4 linked regions of the Macaca fascicularis genome follow. The main gene of each other region encodes a partner of the protein of the gene in region 2 in a complex. Links are inferred from orthologs where the notes say so. Each region holds a gene or a part of one and is shown on either strand. Other genes may lie near its edges.

Region 1 (6,124 bases), on a different chromosome or scaffold from region 2:
CCGCTGATCTGACTCTGGGTCACTGCTTGCCAACTCTTTCCCATTGTCGCCAAGGTCCTTTAACCTGTTCTCTCTGCGCCTCACTATGAAACACACACGGCAGCACACAGGTTGTCCCTAAGCCCCCAGCTGTCACTGTAAACCCTGCTCAGCTACATCCTGTCCCCTTCAGGCCCCATCCCCCAGCCCTGGTACAAAGTGTGACCACAAAGCTGCCTGGTTTGGCCACAACCCACCCTCTCCCATGAATCCCACATGCAGTAGTACAACCCCCAGGCCAGGTGTCACCAATTGACATCTGAAAGTAGAACTCAACAAGTCTCAACTTTCTTTACATCACTGTCCCCAGCCCCCACACCATCTCCTTCCACACTCACAGTGGCGGCCTAGGAGCCCAGGCCCTGCCCCCACACTAATCTCCAGTGAATCAGGTCAAGCCCTTCCACTCCATCCACTCCTGCGGTGGCACCGACGGCCTCCCAGCCTGTGACCCACATTGCCTAATGCTCTCACCCATGGGTTAGGGCCCAGGCTTTGGAATCACACAGGCCAGCATTCATTCGTGGCTCTATCACATGAATGCCATGGAATCCCTGACAAGGCGCTTAGTTTCTTAGAGCTGCTGTTCTTCAACTGTAAGAATAAGAACCCAACCCCCAGGGCTGCTAGGAAGATCCCACAAGACACGTATGGGAAGAGCCTGGCCTAGAGCGGACAGAGGCAGTGGGACACGCCAGCTCTGTGCACATAGCTGGATACATGCTCAGAAGAGACCGCCCATCTCAGAGCTGCAGAACAGCCTCAGAGGAAGAAAAATAAAGTCCCAGGGGTTAGCACAACGAGGCTCTGCCAGGGAGATGGCAGCATGACTGAATACTGGTACCTCACCACTCCGGGGGAGGGGGCGGGGGTCACGGGCCAGCGCACCCCCTGCGCCCTGGCTGCAATGCAGGCTCTCAGGCCTCGCCGTGGCCTGGCGCTGGTGCCGTGGGAGAACGCCCTGACCGCAGCCTGGCCAGGCCCCCTGTGCACCAAGCCCAAGCCCAAGCCCCATGCCCTTCCTCTCCTGGCTCTGTCTCCTCTAACAGCTGAGTCAGAATCTGCATTTTCACCAGCTCCCCAGGTGGTCTGTGTGCACATTAGTTCGGAAAGTATTGTTTTAGAAGACAGGCCTCTCCACTTCTAGCCTGGTTTCTTCCAAAACCAAATAAATGTTTTTGTTCCCCAGGTATTGTGTTCTGTGTATGTTCCACAGTGCCGCAGGGAAGGCAGTGCAGACAGTGTAGTTAAGAGTACAGGCTCTGAAGTCAAACTGGTCCATCCAAAGCCAACTGCCAAGGGCTGTCGGGAAAATGTCCTGAGATACGCGAAGATATGCCAGCAAGGCTCTGCGCCTCCTTAGCTGCTAACATAGAGATAATTGCTGGGATGGTGAAGGGAAGAGCCCTTTGAGGCACTGATATGTAAGTGGAAAGATCGATCCTGGGCCATGATTTTGGGGGAGAGCACTCTAGGTAGAAGAAATATAAAATGATCAAGGGAGGTAACAGATGAGATCTCATTGCTCAACACTTCTAAGGCAGCCTTAACTGAAGTAAAAGCCACTGAGGCCAGTGTGAGGCGCTCTGTGCTTCCAAAGCTCGCTCTGGTTATGGTGTGTGGAATGGGGGAATAGGGTGCAGGGGGAATAACGAACAAGGAGGCTCCCAAAGTGGTCAAGGCAAGAAGTAAACATCAGCCGGGACTACGGCTGTAAGAAGTAGTTTGTTCTGGATGTACTGTGAGGAGACAGCTGATAAACTGGATCAGGAACTTAGTGGAACAAGGAACTAAGGAGTAAGTCAAGAGGACACTAAGAGGCAGATAGGACAGGGAGGTGGCTGGACATGGATGGCTGTTGCTAGGGAGGAGCTCTGGGCCCAGGACCAAGTCAGTACCACACTTTAAGCTCCCTGAATGGAGGGATAAAAGCTTCTCTTTCCTTCAGAGTCCTCCGCCACTGTAGAATCTGCACGGAACACAAGCTCAGTGCATATCCACAAACAGCATGGAAGGACAAGATGGGCCAGAGTTTCTGAAAAATGGCGATCCCAATGCTGGTGGCCATTAGGTAAGGATTTGTAAAGGACCATCTTCTCTAAGGAGCTGGGAGGAGAATCAAGATTCCAGGGCTTCAGAATGGGTATATGAGGCGGTCCTGAGACTCTTTCAGGAAAGGAAAGCAAAAGGCAATCAAAGCAGCCCAGGCAGGACTGCTGGAGACGTGGCAGCAGATGGACGCTGTTCCGAGAAGCAGGCACCTGGTGTAGCAGGGGAAGACTCTGCAAAGCTAAGGGCGCTGGGGTGTCTCACTCCCCTCCTTCTCAGGGTGCCTGGGGATGGCCACATGCCTTTGGTGGTTATGAGTGGGAATACGGCTAGAGATTTTCTCCTTTCTAACACGGATGCAAGCTTCCAGAATGAAAGGAGAGCTGAGAAACCGCCCAGAGAGAACAACCATGTTCCTCTCTCAAGGACAGAACCTAGCACACGATGTTGCTAGCGTAAGTGGATCCAGTCCAGCTCTCACCGCTCCCCACACAGAGCTGTCTCTACAAAAACCTCAAACGTAAAGAGAGCAAAACCCAAGCCCCAGGCCTCCCAGGCCAGGCCTCTTTGTTCATTCTTTACTGACCACTCGCACAATGTCGTGGGTTGTGGAGACCCAAGCATTAACCAGGCACGCTACCCACAAAGAATCTGTGCACTGGCACACCACACAGGGCACATGCATACAATGACAGAAAGCAAACGGGGCCGCCCCAGAGACCCCGAGACAAGCCGCAGGGCGCCCACCGTTCTCCCTCCCTGGTGCTCCCACCGCTTTCTGTCGAGTCTGTGGGCCTGCCTGACTCCACGAACTCAGGTAAGGCACCGCGTCTCGCCCAACGTCTGCACTCCGCAAACGCCTGTGAAGGTGTCCCTGAAGGTGAGGGAAATGGCTCTGCTGTCAGAAACCAGCGTTCAAAGCCCCACTTGGCCCCGTCTCGGCTTTGTGACCTTGGGCGCGTCACAGCCTCTCTGAGCATAGGTTCCGACAGGTGCCCGACTATAAACCGGCAGCGTCGCCCTCCCCACCTCCGGGGCCTTCCGGGGTGCCGAGCGGAGCGAGCAGGTCCAGTGCTGCCTGCGCGCCCGATACAGGAGAGGCGCGGGCCTTCCTGTGCCCTAGCCGGGACCCGGCCCCTGTCGCGCTGCTCACCCAGTTTCCGAAGCCGAACTGCTCGATGGCGTCCAGCAGCAGCTGCTCCTCGCGACTGGTCCAGCCGCCCTCGGCCTCGGGCCCCCAGAGCGTGAAGCGCCCGCCGTCCACCAGCTGGTAGCCGTGGTAGCGGCGGTGGTGGCCGATCTCGGCGCCGGCCGAAAAGCACTCGGGGCACAGCTCGATGTCCTGGCACTCGGTGCAGCGGAAGCGCAGCGGGCTCACCTCGGCCAGGCAGTACACGCAGTACTTCTTCCCCAGCTCCGCCATCTTCCCCTGCTCGCCGCCCGCCGCCCGGCCCGCCGCAGCCGCCGCGCCCCCGGCCGTCAGCGCCCCGCCACCCGCGGGACCCGCCGCCGCCGCCGCGCACAAGCAACCGCCGCCCGTCGCCGCGGCTGCCGCCACCGCGGCCCCAGCCCAGCAGCCGCCGGAGCCAGCCAGCCGGGCCGCGTCCCGCCTCAGTACGCAGGCGCCGTCCGGCCCGGCCCGGCAGCCGCCACCGCGGCCGCTGTCGCCCCGCCGCATCGCGCAGGCGCCCCGCGGGCGCCACCTTGCGGACGCCCGGCCCACCGCTCTGCGCCTGCGCGCACCCCGCGCCGGCCGCCGCCGCCTTTCCCAGAGCCTCCTGAACGCCCCGCCCCAGGCCCAGCGGTGGGAAATGGGCAGGCAGAAAGCCCGGCGGGGACGCCACGCCCCTCGCGGCGAGAGCCCACGGCCGCTTCCAATCAATCTCGCCTATCGCCAGCTCGCGGCCTCCCATTGGCTTGCTCTCCGGGGAGAAGAGGCTGGACGACGGCCTGTCGCCTGGCCAATCGCCGGGCCCAGCGCGCGCGCCCTCGGTTGCCCCGGGAAACCTAACAGCATGCTGCCGGGGTCCGCTGCGCTGGCAGAGCCGGGCGGAGATGGAGGGCGGGTCTGAGCACACTAAGGACCCCGGCGGGGAAGGCGGAGACGGGGAAAGCCTGGCCGCGCGGCCGTCCAAGATCAAGGCCAGCTCCGGCCCTCCGACCCCTCCCGAACCCGGGGAGCTGGAGTCGGAGCCAGAGGAGGAGGAGGAGGAGGAGGAGGAGGAAGAGGAGGCTTCGCAGGGAGGCACAGCCGCGGACGAGCAGGCCAAGGCCCCGAAAGAGCTAACGGCAGCCGAGGCTGCGGGCGAGGAGGGGCCTGGAGAGCCGGGGAGGCCGGCCAAGCCCCAGCCCGAACCCGAAGAGCCGGCCGAGGCCGGGGCTGAGGAGCCCGTCCAGCCGAAGTCCGGAGCCGGGCCCGAGGAACTAGATGCGGAGGCGAGGGCGGAGGAGCTGGAGCAGGCGGCGGAGGGCAAGGAAGTCCGGTCCCAGGCCTCTCTGCCGCTGACCAGGATCGGCGAGGAAGAGGCTGCTGCAGCCCCGGAGGCCGAGACAGAGCGGGTGGAGGGGGAGGAGGAGGACGAGGAGGAGACACGGAGAGACAGCGCGGAGAGCGAGGGGAGGGCTGGGGAAGGACGCCCGGCCAAAAGCCAGGAAGAGGGGAAGCCCCTCGGTGGAAGGGACGAGTTTGAGGACCTGGAGTGGTCCGAGGAGGTCCAGAAGCTACAGGAGCAGCAGCTGCGCAGCGACCTCCTGGACCAGTACCGTTCCCTGCTGATGGAGCGGAACCGCTCCCAGCGCTACAACCTGTACCTGCAGCACAAGATCTTCGAGGCGCTGCGCAAAAAGAAGGGCCTGGAGGCGGCGGAGGTGCCTGACCGGGGCGCACAAGCAGAGGCCCCCGAGAAAGAGCAAGCGTACCTGCGCCATCTGGGCATGCTGGAGGACCTGAAGAAGCAGCAGGCAGACGACCTGCAGTGGTACCACCAGGAGCTGGGCCAGTTGAAGCAGCAGTGCCAGGAGAAGCTCTCAAGAGTGGAGAAGGAGTGGCGGCGCTTCCAGGCACTCAAGAAGCAGGTGGTGATGCAGGCCATGGGCAGCTGTCGGATGAGGGGCGGGCGCCAGGCTGCTCTGCGAGAGGTGGAGCAGATCCTGGCGTTGGAGGATAAAAAGGAGAAGGAGATGAGCGCCGTGCGGCTGGAGAACGTGCAGCTGAAGCAGAGCCTGGTGCATTTTGAAACCAGGATGAGGACCCAGGAGGACCTGACCCAGGGTCTGCTTCTTATTGACTTTGAACAGCTGAAGATTGAGAACCAGACCTTCAATGAGAAAATTGAGGAACGAAATGAGGAACTTTTAAAACTTCGCAACAAGGTGACCAACAGTGTGCAAGTAATAACCCACATGAAGGAAAAGCTGCACTTCATGGACACGGAGAACGCGTGCAAAAAGACACAGCTGGCAGAAATCGAGGCCCAGGTCGCCCAAGGAAGAGACATCCTGACCAAGACGAAGCAAGCCCGAGAGGGGCTGCGGACAGACAACATCAGGCTGAATCAGAAGTGCGGGCTTCTAGGCAACGACTCACTTCTTCGGGACTTGGAAGAAAAAGTGGACAAGACCCAACTGCTCCACCAGCGCCTGGAATCCCTGAAGCGCCACCACGCTGGGCTCACTTTGTCCTGCAGAGGCGTGAGGCAAAAGATCAGGGAGGCCAAAGCCTTTCTCCCCTCTTGACCAGATCGATGAGAAGAGTCTGCAAAACACTTCATCCTCAGGACATGCTGTCCTGCTTTATTTACCTTTGTTGCTATTCTTAAAAAGGCCTGTGTCCTTTGGGACGGGACTATATTTTGTATTTATCTCAAAACGTTTTAGCTTCCAAATCAGTGCTGAGCCCAAAACTGGGTTAGGAGTTTTATTTGGGATTGAGCAAAAATAGGTCCAGAAAAGCAAACAAAGCGTGATTTAATGTAACTGACTTCTCATGAAAAACTGTGGAAAGTCTCAAGTCTGAGCAATTCCATAATTTCAATGA
Region 2 (5,519 bases):
CTAGAGTGCAGAGGCGCAATCTCAGCTCACTGCAACCTCCATCTCCCAGGTTCAAGCGATTCTCCAGCCTCAGTCTCCCAAATAGCTGGGATTACAGGAGTGAGCTACCACATCTGGCAAATTTTGCATTTTTTTGTAGAGACTGGGTTTCACCAGGCTGGTCTAGAACTCCTGAGCTCAAAGTGATCCGCCCGCCTCAGCCTCCCAAAGTGCTGGGATTAAAGGCGTGAGCCGCTGCACCGGGCCACCTCTACACATTTTCAAATGGTCTAGTGGAAGGAGCAATTCCACCCCCAGTTGAGAACCACTGCAATAACTTCCAAAACTTGTCCCTATAGTCATTCTATCCTCCATGTGTTTCCCCACTGCATAGAAGTCCTTTCAAAGTATATAATAATGACATGGTCCTTTAATGACTCTGTAGCAGAAATGACTCTGTAGCAAAAAGGCTTCACTCTCCCCAAATACCCATTTTTCCTGTCTTCCTCCATAAAAGAAAACCTGAATATCAGCTGGGCACATAGACACTTAGGTAAAGACTACATTTCTTATTTCCCCTGCAGCTAGGTGTGGCCACTGACTGTTAAGATATAAAAGGAAGAAGTGTGTGCAGTTTCCGTGTGCCCTAACTGCTGACTGGCACACTGATGTGACTGCTTAGAGCAGGAAAACCATCTTATGCCACAAAGTGGAACATGCATGAAAAGCATGGGAGAGCAACAAGACTGAGGGAGCTTGGGGCCCTGGTAATGAAGAACCCACCACACCAATCCCGAATGTCCCACCTTTATGAGAAAAATAAATAAACTTTTATTGTATTTAAACCTCTGTTGTTTGGGTTCTCAGTTACTCTTATTCTAATCTAATCCTAACACTGCTTCCTAGTGTTCTTAAGATAAAGGCAAAAATAAACTTTTATTTATGCCATTGCTGATGAGTTTTCAGTGACTCTCAATGAAACCTAATCCTACCCAATACAACTCCCTACTGCTCTTAGGATAAACAAAGATCTTCAATATGGCCCAAGAACCAGCCTATTCTTTTTTTTCAATGCCTTCACTTTAACAATAGAACCTGCCTACTGTTCCAGTCCCTAATTCCCAGCTTCATGGTATACCACACCCCCATCCCATTCTCTGCTCCAGCTACCCTGGCCATCTTTCAGCCTCTGTACCTACCAGAATCCTTCCCACCAGAGAGCTTTAATACATACTTTTCCCTCTTTTCTTCATCTGGCTAACTCCTACCTAATCTTCAGATATCAGATCTCACCTCAAGTATCATCTCCTCTGGAAGCCTTCTCTGACTTCTCCAGCTAGATTAAACCCCACATTTTAAGTTCTCATAGCCTTAGGTACCTCTCCTTCACAACGTACATTTTAAGTTGCAGTCTTACATTTGTGTGGTTACACATGTGAACATATATGCACGCGCACACACACTATGTGTGTATATATATATGTAAAAATGTACATACTTCTCAAAGAATGACTTTGCTTCATTCTCATGTTGATTGTAGACTAGCTCCAAGTACATGTGCACAAACAAAGGATAAAAGAGTTGGGATAACTCTGCCCGATGGCAGTCCAGGGAACATTCAATGAAGTGTTTCAGTCCACTATAGTATTCTTCATACATTGTGGGATCTCCTTGTTGGCTGTAGGCTGACAACACAGCACTGACATCTGGCTGGTCTTCCACAGCAACACTTCCAACTGTTTAAAAAACAAAAAACAACTTTTAAGAAAATGACCTATTATGACCATGTGACTATGGCTGTTTTGTTAAGGCCCAGAGGTGAGTTGTTGCTCAGATTGTTGTCTCTTTCTTCCCAACGTCTCTTCCTCAACACAATCACATAATCTTTTTTTTTTTTTTTTTCTGAGAGGGAGTCTCGCTCTGTCACCAGGATGGAGTGCAGTATGGAGATCTCAGCTCACTGCAACCTCCGCCTCGCAGGTGAGTCTCTTGCCTCAGCCTCCCAAGTAGCTGGAACTACAGGCATGCGCCATGCCCAGCTAATTTTTGCATTTTTAGTAGAGACAGGGTTTCACCATGTTTGCCAGGATGGTCTCGATCTCTTGACCTTGTGATCCTCCCACCTCGGCCTCCCAAAGTGCTGGAATTACAGGCATGAGGCACCGCACCTGGCCCACACAGTCTTTTTTTTTTTCTTTCTTTTTGAGATGGAGTTTCAACTCTTGTCGTCCAGGCTGTAATGCAATGGCACGATCTTGGCTCACTGCAACCTCCGCATCTCGGGTTCAAGCAATTCTCCTGCCTCAGCCTCCTGAGTAATCCTACCCAATACAACTCCCTACTGCTCTCAGGGTAAACAAAGATCTTCAACATGGCCCAAGAACCAGCCTATTCTTTTTTTTCAATGCCTTCACTTTAACAATAGAACCTGCCTACTGTTCCAGTCCCTAACTAATTTCCAGGGCATGGTGGTGCATGCCTGGGATTACGGGCATGCACCACTATGCCCCCTAATTTTTGTATTTTTAGTAGAGGGGGGGTTTCACCATGTTGGCCAGGCTGGTCTTGAACTCCTGACCAGAGGTGATCCACTCGCCTCCCAAAGTGCTGGGATTACAAGTATGAGCCGCCGGGCACAGTGGCTCCTGCCTGTAATCCCAGCATTTTGGGAGGCCGAGGCAGGCAGATCACGAGGTCAGGAGATCGAGGCCATCCCGGCTAACACGGTGAAACCCCATCTCTACTAAAAATACAAAAAATTAGCCGGGCATGGTAGTGGGTGCCTGTAGTCCCAGCTACTCGGGAGGCTGAGGCAGGCGAGTGGCGTGAACCCGGGAGGCGGAGGTTGCAGTGAGCCAAGATCACGCCACTGCACGCCAGCCTGGGCAACAGAGCGAGACTCCGAGACTCCATCTCAAAAAAAAAAAAAAACCAAGTATGAGCCACCGCGCCCAGCCATAATCTTTTAATAGAATTTTTTTCACTTGTTTCAGTCACCCAAACCGAAACCTGTCAGCACATCCATATCTTAAGATAACAATAACAGGCCATCACGGTGGCCCAGCATTTTGTGAGACTGAGGCAGGCGGATCACAAGCTCAGAAGTTCAAGACCAGCCTGGCCAACATGGTGAAACCCTATCTCTACTAAAAATACAAAAATTAGCTGGGTGTGATGGCGCGTGCCTGTAATCCCAGCTACTCGGGAGGCTAAGGCACGAGAATCACTTGAACCCAGGAGGCAGAGGTTGCAGTGAGCCAAGATCGCGCCACTGCACTCCAGCCTGGTGACAGAGCAAGACTCCGTCTCAAAAACAAAAAAAACAATAACAAGAAGAGTCAATATTCCTCCTGGAACTACCTTATGTTAAAGACAAATTGTATAAAAGATGGTATGTGCAAATCAAACAACTACATTAACTTTCTCTCAACGCTCTGTTCAAATGGCACCCATTACCACCAAGCCATGCACTGCAGTAACATTCCCAGTTCTCTGAGCCACCCAAGCACTGTGTAACATTCCTGTAACATATCCTATCCTGTGTTCCCTTCACATTATATACATCTCTTACCCCTTATAAAATGTAACCACTTAAGGGTGGGAAGGACCATGCCCTATTTATATCTTCAAAAGATAGTTATATGCGGCCGGGCACGGTGGCTCAAGCCTGTAATCCCAGCACTTTGGGAGGCCGAGACGGGCGGATCACGAGGTCAGGAGATCGAGACCATCCTGGCTGACACAGTGAAACCCCGTCTCTACTAAAAAATACAAAAAAACTAGCCGGGCGAGGTGGCGGGCGCCTGTAGTCCCAGCTACTTGGGAGGCTGAGGCAGGAGAATGGCGTGAACCCGGGAGGCGGAGCTTGCAGTGAGCCAAGATCACGCCACTGCACTCCAGCCTGGGCGGCAGAGCGAGACTCTGTCTCAAAAAAAAAAAAAAAAAAAAAAGATAGTTATATGCTTAAAACAATTTCCATAACCAGCATTTCAAAACAGAAAACATAACTATTTATTTGTAACACAGCACCACCTAACAATACATCTGTCAAATCAGAATTTGGTTGTTGGAAATATTTGTAAGTTGCCATTATAGTACACTTCGCTCTTTACTGCACAAATGTGATAATTTCTTCGGTTACTCTGATGGCCTCTTTTCCTCCTTACTGATTTCTCAGTTATGATCTATAATTAGGTCAAGTTTCTGAAGAGATAGGAGATTACAGCAAAATAACCAACAATATAATTCATCTTATAGTTCATTCACAAAATTCAACATTAAAAAAAGATTCCTCTCAAACACTTTTTTTTTTTTTTTTTTGTAAAGACGGAATTTTGCTCTGTTGCCCAGGCCGGAGCGCAATGGCGCTATCTTGGCTCACTGCAACTTCTGCCTCCTGGGTTAAAGTGGTTCGCCTGCCTCAGCCTCCCGAGCAGCTGGGACAACAGCACATGCCACCACGCCCAGCTAATTTTTTTGTATTTTTAGTAGAGACGGGGTTTCACCATGTTGGCCAGGCTGGTCTTGAACTCCTGACCTCAAGTGATCCACCTGCCTTGGCCTCCCAAAGTGCTGGGACTACAGGCGTGAGCCACCGCGCCCGGCCTTCAATCCACATCTGCACACATTTCTATTTATGGATTACAATGTGATATGAATACAATGCTATGTATTCATACTTCATTTCTGGCAATGCTGCAAAGATTAGGCCTCATACAGATTAATTTGGCTAAAAGCTCTGCACTGGATAATTCAATAAACATTTATTGTCAGCTCAGGATCACCTCTGAGACCTTATATTGTATATGAGTTTTACTGCATGGATTTGTGGCAACAGTTGCTGTGAGAAAGCAGTGGCTCAGGTGTCAGGAACACATACAGAGGCATAAACTTATCCATACCAAACATTTTACATATACATATTACAAGTGCCTCACGTGGCCGGGCGCGCTGGCTCACGCCTGTAATCCCAACACTTTGGGAGGCCAAGGCAGGTGGATCACGAGGTCAGGAGATCAAGACCATCCAGGCTAACATAGTGAAACCCCGTCTCTACCAAAAAGACAAAAAAAAATTAGCCAGGTGTGGTGACATGCGCCTGTGGTCCCAGCTACTTGGGAGGCTGAGGCAGGAGAATCGCTTGAACCTGGGAGGCAGAGGTTGCAGTGAGCCAAGATTGTGCCACTGCACTCCAGCCTGGCCGACAGAGCGAGACTGTGTCTAAAAAAAAAAAAACCCTCGGCCGGGCGCGGTGGCTCAAGCCTGTAATCCCAGCACTTTGGGTGGCCGAGACGGGCGGATCACGAGGTCAGGAGATCGAGATCATCCTGGCTAACACGGTGAAACCCTGTCTCTACTAAAAAATAGAAAAAACTAGCCGGGCGAGGTGGCGGGCGCCTGTAGTCCCAGCTACTGGGGAGGCTGTGGCAGGAGAATGGCGTAGACCCGGGAGGTGGAGCTTGCAGTGAGCTGAGATCCGGCCACTGCACTCCAGCCTGGGCGACAGAGCGAGACTCCGTCTCAAAAAAAAAAAAAAAAAA
Region 3 (6,020 bases), on a different chromosome or scaffold from region 2:
AAACTTATTATATGGGAAGTATGTAAACTGTATTTGGCTAAAGGGTCTATAAAGGCATAAACAAATGCCAGATAATGCTTTGAAATTCTATAGGCCTATTGCAACCTCTGCCTCCCAGGTTCCAGTGACTCTCCAGCCTCAGCCTCACAAGTAGCTGGAATTTTTTTTTTTTTGAGAGGCAGTCTTGCTCTGTCACCCAGGCTGGAGCGCAGCGCGCCATCTTGGCTCACTGCAACCTCTGTCTCCTGGATGCAAGCAATTCTCCTGCCTCAGCCTCCCAAGTAGGTGGGGCTACAGGCATGTGCCACCACATCCAGCTAATTTTTTGTATTTTTAGCAGGGACGGGGTTTTGCTGTGTTAGCCAGGATGGTCTCGATCTCCTGACCTCATGATCCACCCACCTCAGCCTCCCAAAGTGCTGGGATTACAGGCATGAGCTACCGTGTCCGGCCCTCGAGTAGTGGAGTTACAGGCACGCATCACCACACCCAGCTAAATTTGTATTTTTATTAGAGACGGGGTTTTGCCATGTTGGCCAGACTGGTCTTGAACTCCCGACCTCAAGTGATCCTCCCACCTTGGCCTCCCAAAGTGCTGGGATTACTGGCATGAGCCACTGTACCTAGTCTCCTGCAAATTTTTTTTTTTTTAAGGTTCACGAAACAGATCTTTCGTCAGTAACCTCTATGAATATTCAGTTAAGATAAGGAGAAGCCTGAAGATTCCAAATTCCTGTCATCACAAACTAATCTCACTGGAAAAAAGGTCTTTGCTAACAACCAACTGAACATCACTCTGGGATGCTCTGGTACAAGGATCCCATTCTTATGCTGATATAATAAGTAAAACCACATAATGGTATAAGGAGCATCAGAGAAATGAAATAAGAAATGTTCAGCTTTAGTGAGGAAACGAAATATGGAAAAGGATTTGGATGGTTAAAAAATAAGAGTGTCTGGCTGGATGTGGTGGCTCATGCCTGTAACCCCAGCAGTTTGGGAGGCTGAGGCAGGAGGATCACTTGAGGGTAGGAGTTTGAGACCAGCCTGGCCAACATGGTGTAACTAGTCTCTACTGAAAATACAAAAATTAGCTGGGTATGGCTGGTCATGGTGGCTCAGGCCTGTAATCCCAGCACTTTGGGAGGCCGAGTTAGGCAGATCATCTGGGTCATGAGTTTGAGACCACCCTGGCTGACATGGGGAAACCCGTTTCTACTAAAAATACAAAAAATTAGCTGGGGCTGGTGGCGAGACAGGGTCTCACTCTTCTATCACTGGGGCTAGAGTACAGTGGCATGATCACAGCTCACTGCAACCTTGAACTCCTGGGCACAAGTGATCCTCCCACCTCAGCCTCCTGAATAGCTGGGGCTATAGGTACACGCCACCATGCCCAGTTAATTGCAAAAAAAAAAAAAAGATATACTGACCCTGTAGTTTCAAGGGCATTTGGGAACTGCTCACATATAACCCCGCCTAAATAAACCATATTCATAAATCTGTGTTGCCTCATCTCTCAATACTTAGATATAACTTTACATAAAGGACCCAGGACTGGAGATGGAGAGCACATTCTCATGCTGTGTTCCAGGGCTTGGCCTGTACCATCAGTAGTAGCAGCAGCTCTCCCTTCCTCTTGTTGCCAAAAAGGGTCAAAAGCATCTACTGAGGGGGTAGGATGCAGAATCAATACATTATAATCTCCATGTCATTATTTATTTTGCTTATTTATTTATTTATTTTGGACACAGGGTCTGGTTCCGTCACCAAGGCTGGAGTGCAGTGGCGCAATCTGGGTTTACTGCAACCTCCACCTCCTGGGCCCAAGCCATCCTCTCACCTCAGCCTCCAGAGTAGCTGGAACTACAGGGGCGTGCCACCATGCCCTACTAATTTTTGTATTTTTTGTAGAGAGAGGGTTTCACTATGTCGCCCAGACTGGTCTTGACCTCCTGGGCTCAAGCGATCTGCTTGCCTTGACCTCCCAAAGTGCTGGGATTACAGACGTGAGCCACTGCATCTAGCCTCCATGTCACTCTAATGTCTTACACTATTCACCACCTTCTTCTTTTTTTTTGAGACAGAGTCTTGCTGTGTTACCCAGGCTGGAGTGCAGTGGCATAATCTTGGCTCACTGCAACTTCTCCCTCCTGAGTTCAAGCGAGCACGTCTGGCTAATTTTTGTATTTTTAGTAGAGATGGGGTTTCATCACATTGGCCAGGCTGGTCTCAAACTCCTGACCTCCAGTGATCCACCTGCCTCAGCCTCCCAAAGTGCTCGGATTACAGGCGTGAGCCACTACACCCAGCTGTTCACCACCTTCTTACTTTGTTCATAGCCTTAGTCCAAAGCCCAAGCCCCAACTCACTTGCTACTCTCCCTCAACACCTGGTGCAGGATCCATTAGTATCTGTGGCTTACAGTCAAAGAAGCCTCTCTTTCTACTGCTGCAAAGGCAAGAGGAAAACTAATGGAGGTATGTTCTTCTGCCCTAAATTAAAACACGAACTACATTTGCTCACCTAAAAAGCAATTTATACACAGACACACATACACACACATATAACTGGGGTTAGGATTGGTACTATCTGATTCAAAAGCTAAACAGAATTTGATAGGCTAGTCTGAGAATATTGTCACTACAGGGAAACATTCAAAGCAATAAATGTACTTGGAAAGGATATGTCCAAAAGTTTTCATCATCTATAACAAAATCATTGTCAAATACTACTTACATTCTTTAGAAAAAAGCCTCTTTCTTTTACCCTGTCCACCTTCTGCACCTCCTCCAATTTCTTCATTTTCTTCCTCAAACTAGAAAACGTATATATAGAAATGTCAAATAATTGCCTTGCATTTGATATTTTAATAATAACAATGTTTTTTCCTTTTCAACAGATAGGCCAGAAAGCCTAAAGGAAGCAGAAAAAAAAAAAAAAAAAAAAAAAAAAAACACAAAACCTTAGCACGTAAGCAGCCTAGGTATCGAGTCCAATTTCCAACTCATCCAAAAATGGCTTCTACAATGTTCCTAACAAATAATCCTACTGCTTCTACGTGTAAGAGTTACAATGACCATAGGTTTTATTTTTAAACAACTAAGGTGGCCTATTGCTACTGTTAAACAGTTGATACTGAATCAAAGTCTACCTTTGTAGACTTTCAATTAAGCAAAACTAATATTTACTAAGCATTTGCATATACGGTGCTAAAAACGTTCCTTAAGTAAGCCCGTAACCCTATTTTGTAACAAGAAAACTGATTGTCAAAGTTAAATAACTTGCTTAGAGAGAATGGAGATTTTGAAATCCAGGCTGTCTGACTTTCAATGCATTCTTTTCCCATTACTTCACAGTAAGTACAGTTTTGTTAACAATTGAACTGTTGGTTCATAGTGAGCGCTAATAGATGTTAGTTTTGACGTCTGATGATTCTGTAAGTGTTTCAGTGTCTGGCAAATAAAGATCAAAATCAAGGGGAAAGGGGTCACAAAACCTACTCTTTCTTCATGTCCTTCCCCACTTTCTAAAATGATCAATCCTTAGGGAGTGAAGTCCCCGAATTCTGTCGGCTGAATTGACTAAGGCAAGCAGATCCGATCCTGAACTCTGCCTCCGCTACTGAGCCCGAAGGAGTGAAGAAAAGAGAGGTTCTGGACACAGACGGTCACTCACGGTGGGGTCTTCTTCCTCATCTGCCATCCCACTAGCCCGCCAACCCACAGCGCCCCGCCGGCTGGTTCTCAGCGGGTTACGCTACTTCCGTCGCCTCACTTCCGGTGACGGGCGGGGCTGGAGCTGGGCCTAGCTGACTGAGGCCTGCGGAAGGACGGTGGTGCTTTCCGGCCTAGCGGCGGAAATGCGACAGTCTTTAGCGGAGGAGGCCGGAGCTCCTCCCTGTAACACTGAAGGAATTGAAAACTAACAAAGAAAAGGAAATCACGGGCTCCGTGGGATGTATCTCGTTGTCACCCTAAATTTGCTACTGCGCATTGAATCACGCCTTCCTGTTTGGGGACTGCGAAGCTATGGATCGTAGGAGGGCTAGCCAGCGGTCCTTTATCTGACATAAATGCTTTTAAATCATTTTAAAGAGTTGTGGTTCCACTGTTTCTAAGCACTATGTTAATTACTGGGGATACTGTGCTTCACCACAAATTTCCAAGAGATGGTGTCCCAAAACTAAGCATTTAAAATTTTGTGAAGGTTTGTTTTTGTGTGTGTGTGTTTTTTTTTTTTTTTTTTTTTTTTGAGACCAAGTCTCACTCTGTCGCCCAGGCTGGAGTGTGCGGTGGCGAAATCCCGGCCCACTGCAACGTCCGCCTATCGGGTTCAAGCGATTCTTCTGCCTCAGCCTCCCGAGTAGCTGGGATTACAGGCGTGCACCACCATGCCCGGCCTCATTTTTGGTTTTTTTTTTTTTTTTTTGAGACGCAGCCTCACTGTCCCCCAGGCTGGAGTGAAGTGGCACAATCCGGGTTCACTGCAGCTTAGACCTGCTGGGCTCAAGCCATCCTCCCACCTCAGCCTCCAAGTAGCTGGGATTACAGGCACACACCACCTATGCTCGGCTAATTTTTGTATTTTTAGTAGATATGGGGTTTCGCCACATCACCCAGGCTGGTCTGGAACTCTTGATCTCAAGCGATCTGCCCCCCTCGGCCTCCCAAAGTGCTGGGATTACAAGTGTGAGCCACCGTGTCCATTGGGGAAGGCTTTTGGTCGGAACAATGGTTGGGAAAACCACAGGCATTGGAAGGCCAGAGCTAGGGATATAAAATATGTGTCCTACAGTGTAACAGATGATGCTACATAAAGAAAATCCCGCAATACACACGATTTCTGAATGTCCTGCTGAACATTCGGTGAGTGAAAAGTAGTTATGTGAGGCTTGAACCTATCTTTGTTAATAAACACAAAGCGGCTGGGCGCGGTGGCTCAAGCCTGTAATCCCAGCACTTTGGGAGGCCGAGACGGGTGGATCACGAGGTCAGGAGATCGAGACCATCCTGGATAACACGGTGAAACCCCGTCTCTACTAAGAAATACAAAAAACTAGCCGGGCGAGGTGGCGGGCGCCTGTAGTCCCAGCTACTCGGGAGGCTGAGGCAGGAGAATGGCGTGAACCCGGGAGGCGGAGCTTGCAGTGAGCTGAGATCCGGCCACTGCACTCCAGACTGGGCTACAGAGCGAGACTCCGTCTCAAAAAAAAAAAAAAAAAAAAAAAAAAAAAAAAAAACACACACACACACACAAAGCATTTTCCCACACTTTTAATGTACGTTGAATTTTCTAGGAATGTTATTGCCCCAAAATTGAATAGTAATTGTATTGTTTTGTTTGGAATTCATTAAGAGTTGTGTACCATTTCAAGAAATAACGTCACCAAAAGCAACATCACTTGTAATAATTTGAATAGTGAATACTGAAAAAAGAACTTTGATTTGAGGAAAGTGAGTTAAATTATTAGGCCCTGAGAGGCATTAAAATGAGAGGCAATCACATCCTACTTGCCCCCTTTTGAGCTATGTATTTATGTCTTAAAACTGCTTGCCATTCCACAAGTATTAGTTATAAATTAGCCTAATTATGCCCCACCAGACACTATATCCCACACCCTATAGCTTGATAATGTTATTTTTGTAAACCAATGAGAATTCCTTAAGGACAACTTTGTGTCAGCCCACTCCCCGTCCTCATTCTTTTCCGTTAAAAATCCACTTGTACCTGCTGCTAATCTTAGAGTGTATTCCGGGCCACTTTATGCTGCTGAGTTGCAATCCTCAAGTCTGGCCCAAATAAACTCTCTATTTATATTAATTTTGCCTCAGCTTCTTCCTTTTAGGTCGACAATACTCACTCAAATCAGTCTGCATTCAAAGTAATTCTACATATAGGTACAAGCATCTGAAATCTTCATTATACCCCCTAGTGCTCGAGTGTTTATATATTGAAACATATGTTGGCTGGGCGCGCTGGCTCACACATGTAATCCCGGCACTTTGGGAGGCCGAGGC
Region 4 (6,186 bases), on a different chromosome or scaffold from region 2:
TACTCCCGGCTCCTCCTCAGTTTGCAAGACTGAGTTGTTACTAGAATGAGTTATTAGCCAAGCAAGAGTTATTTTTGTTACTTCCATCTTTGTTCTAAACATTTTTATTATGAAATATTTCAATGAAGAGGGAGCCAACTAGAATAATTTAATATTCTCTGATCAATCAATTACAGGAAGTAACCAGAGTATTTCCAATTTGCCATTTTGATTTACAAAATTAAGTTGTACTGTTTAATAAAAGAAGGTACTCTGGTTTGGGGCACTGCTAGTTTTATTGATATATATGTATTTTTTTTGCTTTGGCTACTAGTGAAATAAACAACAATCAAAATTCCTCATCAGTAGATCAACTGCAGGGGATCATGAAGAAATGCGATAAATCTTTCATTTTTTAGACAGTAGCATTCAGCTCCTTGAAAGTACCATTCTCAGCACTGCCACCCAAACGTCTGTGTGAGCTGTTCCTCTGTCCTCACACACGGGAATCACGCACAGTCAACACTCCTACAGTTGTTTTTCAAGTTGTCACCTCATCAAACACACCTGACCCTAAAACTGACCTTAAAACAGAAGATGGAAGTGAGTCCCAGAATCACTCATGATAAATACAGCAGAAATGCCCTTTTCCAACTATGTGTTCCTCCACCTCCTCCCAGAAGAAAGAGATGAGGCTTTACCTATGCAGAGGCTCAGAGCAAGACAACCTGGCCAGCCCCTCAAGGCGGAGTCCAATACCTATCCAAAGTGGTGCAACAGGCACCTGGCCTGCGCTGAGACATGCGGGACCGCTGGAAAAACATTTTTATAAATAAAGCATTGCGATAGTTTACATAACAGATCACGGCCATCAAACACCTTTTTACAACATTACTAAAGTTCAGCCACATTTTCTACTAAAAGGTCAATATACACATAGGAGCAAAACCAAGACTTTGGCGAAACATCCCTACAAATGCTTCAGTACTCCAACAGCTTGTCACAACGGGCGTCTCAGCAACCCCGGAGAAGTGGCTTCTCAGCCCTCTTCCTCCCTGGAGCACTGCAGCCTAGCGGTCTCCCAGACAGACTCTCCCTACCCCCGCCCTGTCCAGTCTGACCACCAGCCCTGAACTTCACATACTCGGACAGGAAAACCTTTCACTTCTGAAGATGCTGCAAACCTCTCAAAGTGACCAATAGCTCCCTTCAGAGAGGGGACACAGAAAAGACCCACGCTCTCCTCGAAGTTCCTACTACTGCTGCCACCGAGCTGCTACAACTGCATGGCGCGCGTCACCACAGGCCGGGGAGGAGCTCCCCTGCCCAGCACCCACCAAGGCGGCTGGGGAGGGATGGGGAGCCCCAGACAAAAGCAGCCTAGCGTGCAATGCTGGTCAGGCAATCTTTCCCGTCAAACTTGAGGGGCCCTGAAGAGTCGCAGAGACAGCAGACTAGACCAAGAGCGTGAGTACTGCCAGGCAGAAGGGGCGTCTGAGCCCAAGGCATCCGCAGCACAGCCAGTATTACCCCGAGACCCCTGCACGGAGTGAGAGCATCTGCTGCCACCGCCCTCCCACTGCCCTCCCGAGGGGGCAGCAACCAGACTAGCTGGGCGCTCTTTCCTTTAGGCACCAACGCAGCGCTGGAAGAGACGGTGACACACACGGTGCTGAAACCCTACTCCAGAGCATGGCTCTCAGCAAGGCTGCGCGCCTGGAGGACTCTCGCAGGGTGCGCCCGACATCTCTGCCTTCCTGGTGGCCAACAGGGAAGCCCAAGCCTTCCATCCCGACTTCCCGAGCCTCGAGGAGGGGGTGTCGTGCCCCCGTCCTCGCCTGGAGACTGGGGAGGCTCAAGCCCAGGGTCACAAAGGGGTAGAAAGGCTAAGTGGGGACACAGGCCACACGCCTAACTGCAGAACTGAGCAGGGGACAGTTGCTGCCACTCGCACCTCCAGGTTCTGCCCTCAGCTCTGCAGACCCCATCGCCTGGCCCAGGGAGCCCCTGCGCTGAGCCTTCCAACCGGGGCAGGGGCACACAGGGCGGGAGCAGGTAAGGACCGCTCCAGTAGGAGTCCTGGCTGAGCCACTCCGAAACAGACCAGCCCCAGCCACAGGCAGCCACCGCGGACGTCTGGAACAGCGACAGGGACGCAGACTATGCCGACTCCCTCTGGCTCACTCGCAGGCAGCCACCCGGGCTGGCCCCGCACCTGGGTAGAGGCTGCCCCTCGGCCTGCTCCAGCCACGGGCCTACGGGACAGATGACCTTAGCATTCCACCAGCGGAGAACTTCCTGGAACTGGCAGCTGGCGCTGCTGGGACCCGCCCTTCCCTCCCGCCCCGTGCGGCCACTCACCTGGGGGCAGCTGGAAGTTCTGGATGTTGGTCGGGTTCTGAGGCGGCTGCGGCAGGCGGGGGGCCAGCACGGTGGGCGTCAGGGTGGCCCGGATCCCGCTGGTGGTGGCCGTGGGCGTCCGGGGCAGGCTCTGGGTCACTGCGCCGGCCGCGCCTTTGGGCAGCCCGGTGGGGGTCCCGGGGGCGGGCGGTGGGACGGCGGCGGGGCTGGGCAGCGCCCCTTGCATAGTTGGCCCGATGACCATGCTGGCAGCCGTGCTGGCCGGGCCGCTGGCCGCCAGGGTCTGCGCCGCCGGGGGCGCCGCCTGCACCACCGTCTTGGGCGACTCGGCCTTGACCCCCGGCGCTGGCGCTGCAGCCGCCGCGCCAGGCCCGGGCTGGCCGCTGACCCCCGCGGGGCCCCCGGCGGCCGGGGCGGGGGCGGGGGCTGCCCCGGCGCTGCCCCCGTTCTGGGCTGCGGCAGGGGGCGGCGCAGCGGGCGCGGCGGTCGGGGGTCCGGCAGGGTGGCCGGGCGGCCGCGCCAGGGTGGCGGGCGCGGGGGGTGGCGGGGGCGGGGCGGCGGCGGGGGCGGCGGGCGCGGGGGCGGCGGGGGGCGAGGGCGCGGCGGGCGCGGGGGGCGCGGCGGCGCCCACGAAGGGGGGCGTCTGGATGACAGTGCCGGGGGCGGCGGGCTTGGGCAGCGGCAGCAGCGCGGCGGGCCCGTTGTTGACCAGGCTGACAGCAGGTGCGGCGGCGTGGTGCGAGTTCAGCAGCGCGGCGCTCCCATTCAAAGTTTGCGCGGCGCCGGGGCCGGCGGGCTTGCCAGGGCCAGGGCCGGGGCCGGGCCCGGGCCCGGGGCCGGGGCCGGGGCCGGCGCGGGCGGCCAGCGCGGTGGGGCCGGCGGGCTTGGCGGGGCCGGCGGGGGCGGGCTCGGGCCCCGCGGCGACGGCGGCGGCGGCGGGCACCGGGGCGCAGGCCCCCGCGCTGCCCTCGGGCGGCGGCCTCAGCTTCGCGGCAGGCGGCGCGGGCCCTGCGGGGACAAGGGGGCGGCGCGGTGAGGGGGGGCCCGGGCGCCGCGGCCCCCCGCCCCCCGGCCGCGCTCTACCTGCGGGGGGCGGCTCCGGCGCCGCTCCGGGCGCGCCCTCGGCGGGGGCGGCCGGCCCTGCGCCCGCGGCTCCGGCCGGGCTGCCGCTCACAACATGGTTCCCGAGCGCGCCGGCGGCCGCGGCCCGCACCTCGGGCGTGCGCGGCGCGAGGTGGTGGTGGTGGGCCGCGCTGGCCGCCAGCTGCGACTCGAGCGAGCCCACCAGGTCGCTCACCACTTTCTCGTCCACCTCGCTGTTGAAGAAGACCTCGTCCAGCAGATCCGAGCCCGCCGCCATCTTTTTTCCTCGGCCGCCGCCGCCGCCGCCGCTCGGGCCGAGCGCGCCTGGGCGAGGAGGAGGTTCCGAGTGGGGCGGGCGCTGGGCGGGCGGGGGGCGGCGCGCGGCCGGCGGGGGGCGGGGGCGCGCGGCCGGGGGGCGGGGGCGCGGGGTGGCGCTCCTGCGCAGGCGCGGAGACCGCGGGCGCCCGGCGATTGGCTGCGGTGCGCGCTTAAAAGGCGCGGCCAATGGCTGCGAGCGCTAGAGGCCGGGGCGCGGGCGGTCGGCCTGGGCGCGGTAGCAGCGGCGGGAAGCGCGGGGGCTGGTGCTCGGGGACGCGGGAGCCGGGGCGGTGGCGGGCAGGGCGGGGCGGTGGCCGCCGGGCGGGGCGCGGGATGCGGGGACGGTGCGCCGGGCCGGGCCGAGGCGAGCGCGGGGCGGCGACGGGGCTTCGCTCTTTGTCTCCGCTCGCTCCAAAATGGCTGCGGCGGCGCTGACGGGAACGCCGGGCGGGCCGCCCTGTGCGGTAGCAGCGGAGGTGCAGGGCCCGTCCGAGGCCCGGGGAGCAGCGCGCGGGGATGCCGGGGCGCCGGCCGGGCAGCGCGCAGGCCCCGGAGTGGATGGGCCCGAGAAGCAGGCGGGGACGGGGACGGGGCTCTCGCAGCGCGCCCTGAGGACGGGGACCGGCGCCCGGCCCCTCCAAGCCGCCGCGGGGAAGGAAGCTGGGTCCGCCCCTGGGTAGCCGGTCCCGGGCGGTGGGGAGGGGTCCTGCGCGCACGGCTCTTCTCGCCCTCCAATCGTGACCACCCCTGGCCCTTCCCTCCATTTTTAATCAATAAACTAAGCCGCCCCGGGGTGACTGTACCCGCACCTAGCTGCCTTGGAGACGGGAGTGTCATTATAAGCCCGTAGGTAAGAGCACGGTGCCTGCCAGGCGCCAAACGAAGTTCCCGAGCTGGCAAATCTGGAAGTAGCTTTCTTTTTACGTTCTGCTGGGGGAGGGGAGTAAGTTACCTAAAATGTTCCCAAGCACCTTCTCTCTAGAAATACTTCAGTAAAAGTTCCAGTTCTCTCTTTCTGCGTGTTTTATTTTCCAACCAAAAGATGGTGTTATTGGACATTTCTAGTGGTTTTCCTTTCTCCCATTTCTTTCTAAGAGCCCAGAATAGGTTTCAGAGAGACGCTTCCTTGCCTCGGACCTCACTGGGGACAAGAGGCCGCAGGATCAGTCTTCGCAGCTGAAGACAGCGCCGCAATAAGCAGAGACCTCGGGACGATGAATGACGTTGCTGACATAGAAAATGATTTTTTTAATTGTTGTAGCAAAGGAGACTGCTAGTCTCAACAGCAGACCCGAACTGGACCCTTGTGCCTGTTCGAATTGCAGCCTCGCAAGGGAATGGACTGACTGAGACAGCTGGAATACGGGACTTCACCCCAGGCTTGTTTCTCGACAGCAGCAGCAGCCAATGAGCATTGAGGACGGAGCCTAGGAGAGGTGCCTCCCCTCTAGGGAAACAGTGTTCGGGGGAAATCACTGCAAACGTACAGCTGGAATTTTGTACCTGAACTTTGGCTCCCAGAAGGCAGGAAAGGAAATGAATGAAGCCAGCTGGGTACGGCAGGGAGGGCCCCTATGGGTGCACATATGGGGCACCTTGAGCTCAGTAGGGGGACAGTCTGAGTTTTCCAGAAAGAGCAGAGATATAAAGTGATGATTAAATCTCGAGATTTTTAATTTTTAAGTGTTGACAACTAATTAGAACATTTTTAAAGTAGGTCAAACCACAGGCAGGCTGACCGGCCTCATGCACAACTTGCAAGGTGGGGCGCACCAGGCTCACAGCACAGCCCATACCCTCAGACCCCTCACACTGGAGTGGGAGCAGAAGCAGAACGCCGGACTCGCATGAAACAGACCAAGTTCCAAGGCCCCTGGGTCCCAAAGGCTGGGGTAACTGAAGGTTCCCACGCTCAGGCCTCCACTCTTCAAGTCCGCTGCTACTCCACTGAGATCTGTAATGAGTCTCCTGCCATCTACACACAGTGGTGGCTTCTCTTCTCCAAGGCCCCGCCAGGAGCCCTTCATTCCAACATATTCGGGGCTCTCTGTAGGCTGGGCTCAGCCTCCTGCACACACGCCTTGGTTGACATTATCCGCAGGATCTTCTGAGGAACCGTCCAGCCTGGCAACTGCAGAAACTGTGAGGAGTTTAGGGTCTGTGCCCACCTATCCCAGCTTCCCTTGCAAGGAGGGTCTTGTGCACCAGAAGACCCTGGGGAGGGTGGGAGCTGCAGACAGCCAGGCAGCTCTATGTCTGGGGTTTGCAGGAGCACTGCCTCCCCGAGGAGGAGGAGCTGGGGTATGGCGGGGGTGTGAGGACACCCCTCCTAGTGTGAGGAGCTGGGGTATGGCGGGGGTGTGAGGACACCCCTCCTAGTGTGAGGAGCTGGGGTATGGCGGGGGTGTGAGGACACCCCTCCTAGTGTGAGGAGCTGGGGTATGG

What was found. The genes of interacting proteins can lie anywhere in the genome.
Region 1: TAF5 (region 2) and TADA2B share a complex: the UniProt entries of both Homo sapiens proteins name them as parts of the TFTC-HAT complex. The link is inferred for Macaca fascicularis from reciprocal best matches to the Homo sapiens genes TAF5 and TADA2B.
Region 3: TAF5 (region 2) and transcription initiation factor TFIID subunit 13 share a complex: the UniProt entries of both Homo sapiens proteins name them as parts of the TFIID basal transcription factor complex. The link is inferred for Macaca fascicularis from reciprocal best matches to the Homo sapiens genes TAF5 and TAF13.
Region 4: TAF5 (region 2) and TAF4 share a complex: the UniProt entries of both Homo sapiens proteins name them as parts of the TFIID basal transcription factor complex. The link is inferred for Macaca fascicularis from reciprocal best matches to the Homo sapiens genes TAF5 and TAF4.

Annotation. Positions count from the first base shown.
Region 1 is NC_088379.1:6,046,354-6,052,477, forward strand, and holds the start of TADA2B (transcriptional adapter 2-beta), read right to left. Parts: upstream 3,768-6,124; 5' UTR 3,767-3,767; coding exon 3,242-3,766; intron 1-3,241. Other genes in the region: CFAP184 (cilia- and flagella-associated protein 184), read left to right, coding at 4,144-5,823. UniProt on the Homo sapiens protein: Coactivates PAX5-dependent transcription together with either SMARCA4 or GCN5L2.
Region 2 is NC_088383.1:112,411,321-112,416,839, reverse strand, and holds part of TAF5 (transcription initiation factor TFIID subunit 5), read right to left. Parts: intron 1,716-5,519; coding exon 1,478-1,715; intron 1-1,477. UniProt on the Homo sapiens protein: The TFIID basal transcription factor complex plays a major role in the initiation of RNA polymerase II (Pol II)-dependent transcription.
Region 3 is NC_088375.1:125,371,526-125,377,545, reverse strand, and holds the start of transcription initiation factor TFIID subunit 13, read right to left. Parts: upstream 3,768-6,020; 5' UTR 3,706-3,767; coding exon 3,679-3,705; exon of another isoform or gene 3,505-3,678; coding exon of another isoform or gene 3,504-3,504; intron 2,917-3,503; exon of another isoform or gene 2,819-2,916; coding exon 2,740-2,818; intron 1-2,739. UniProt on the Homo sapiens protein: The TFIID basal transcription factor complex plays a major role in the initiation of RNA polymerase II (Pol II)-dependent transcription.
Region 4 is NC_088384.1:118,112,345-118,118,530, forward strand, and holds the start of TAF4 (transcription initiation factor TFIID subunit 4), read right to left. Parts: upstream 3,768-6,186; 5' UTR 3,701-3,767; coding exon 2,341-3,700; intron 1-2,340. UniProt on the Homo sapiens protein: The TFIID basal transcription factor complex plays a major role in the initiation of RNA polymerase II (Pol II)-dependent transcription.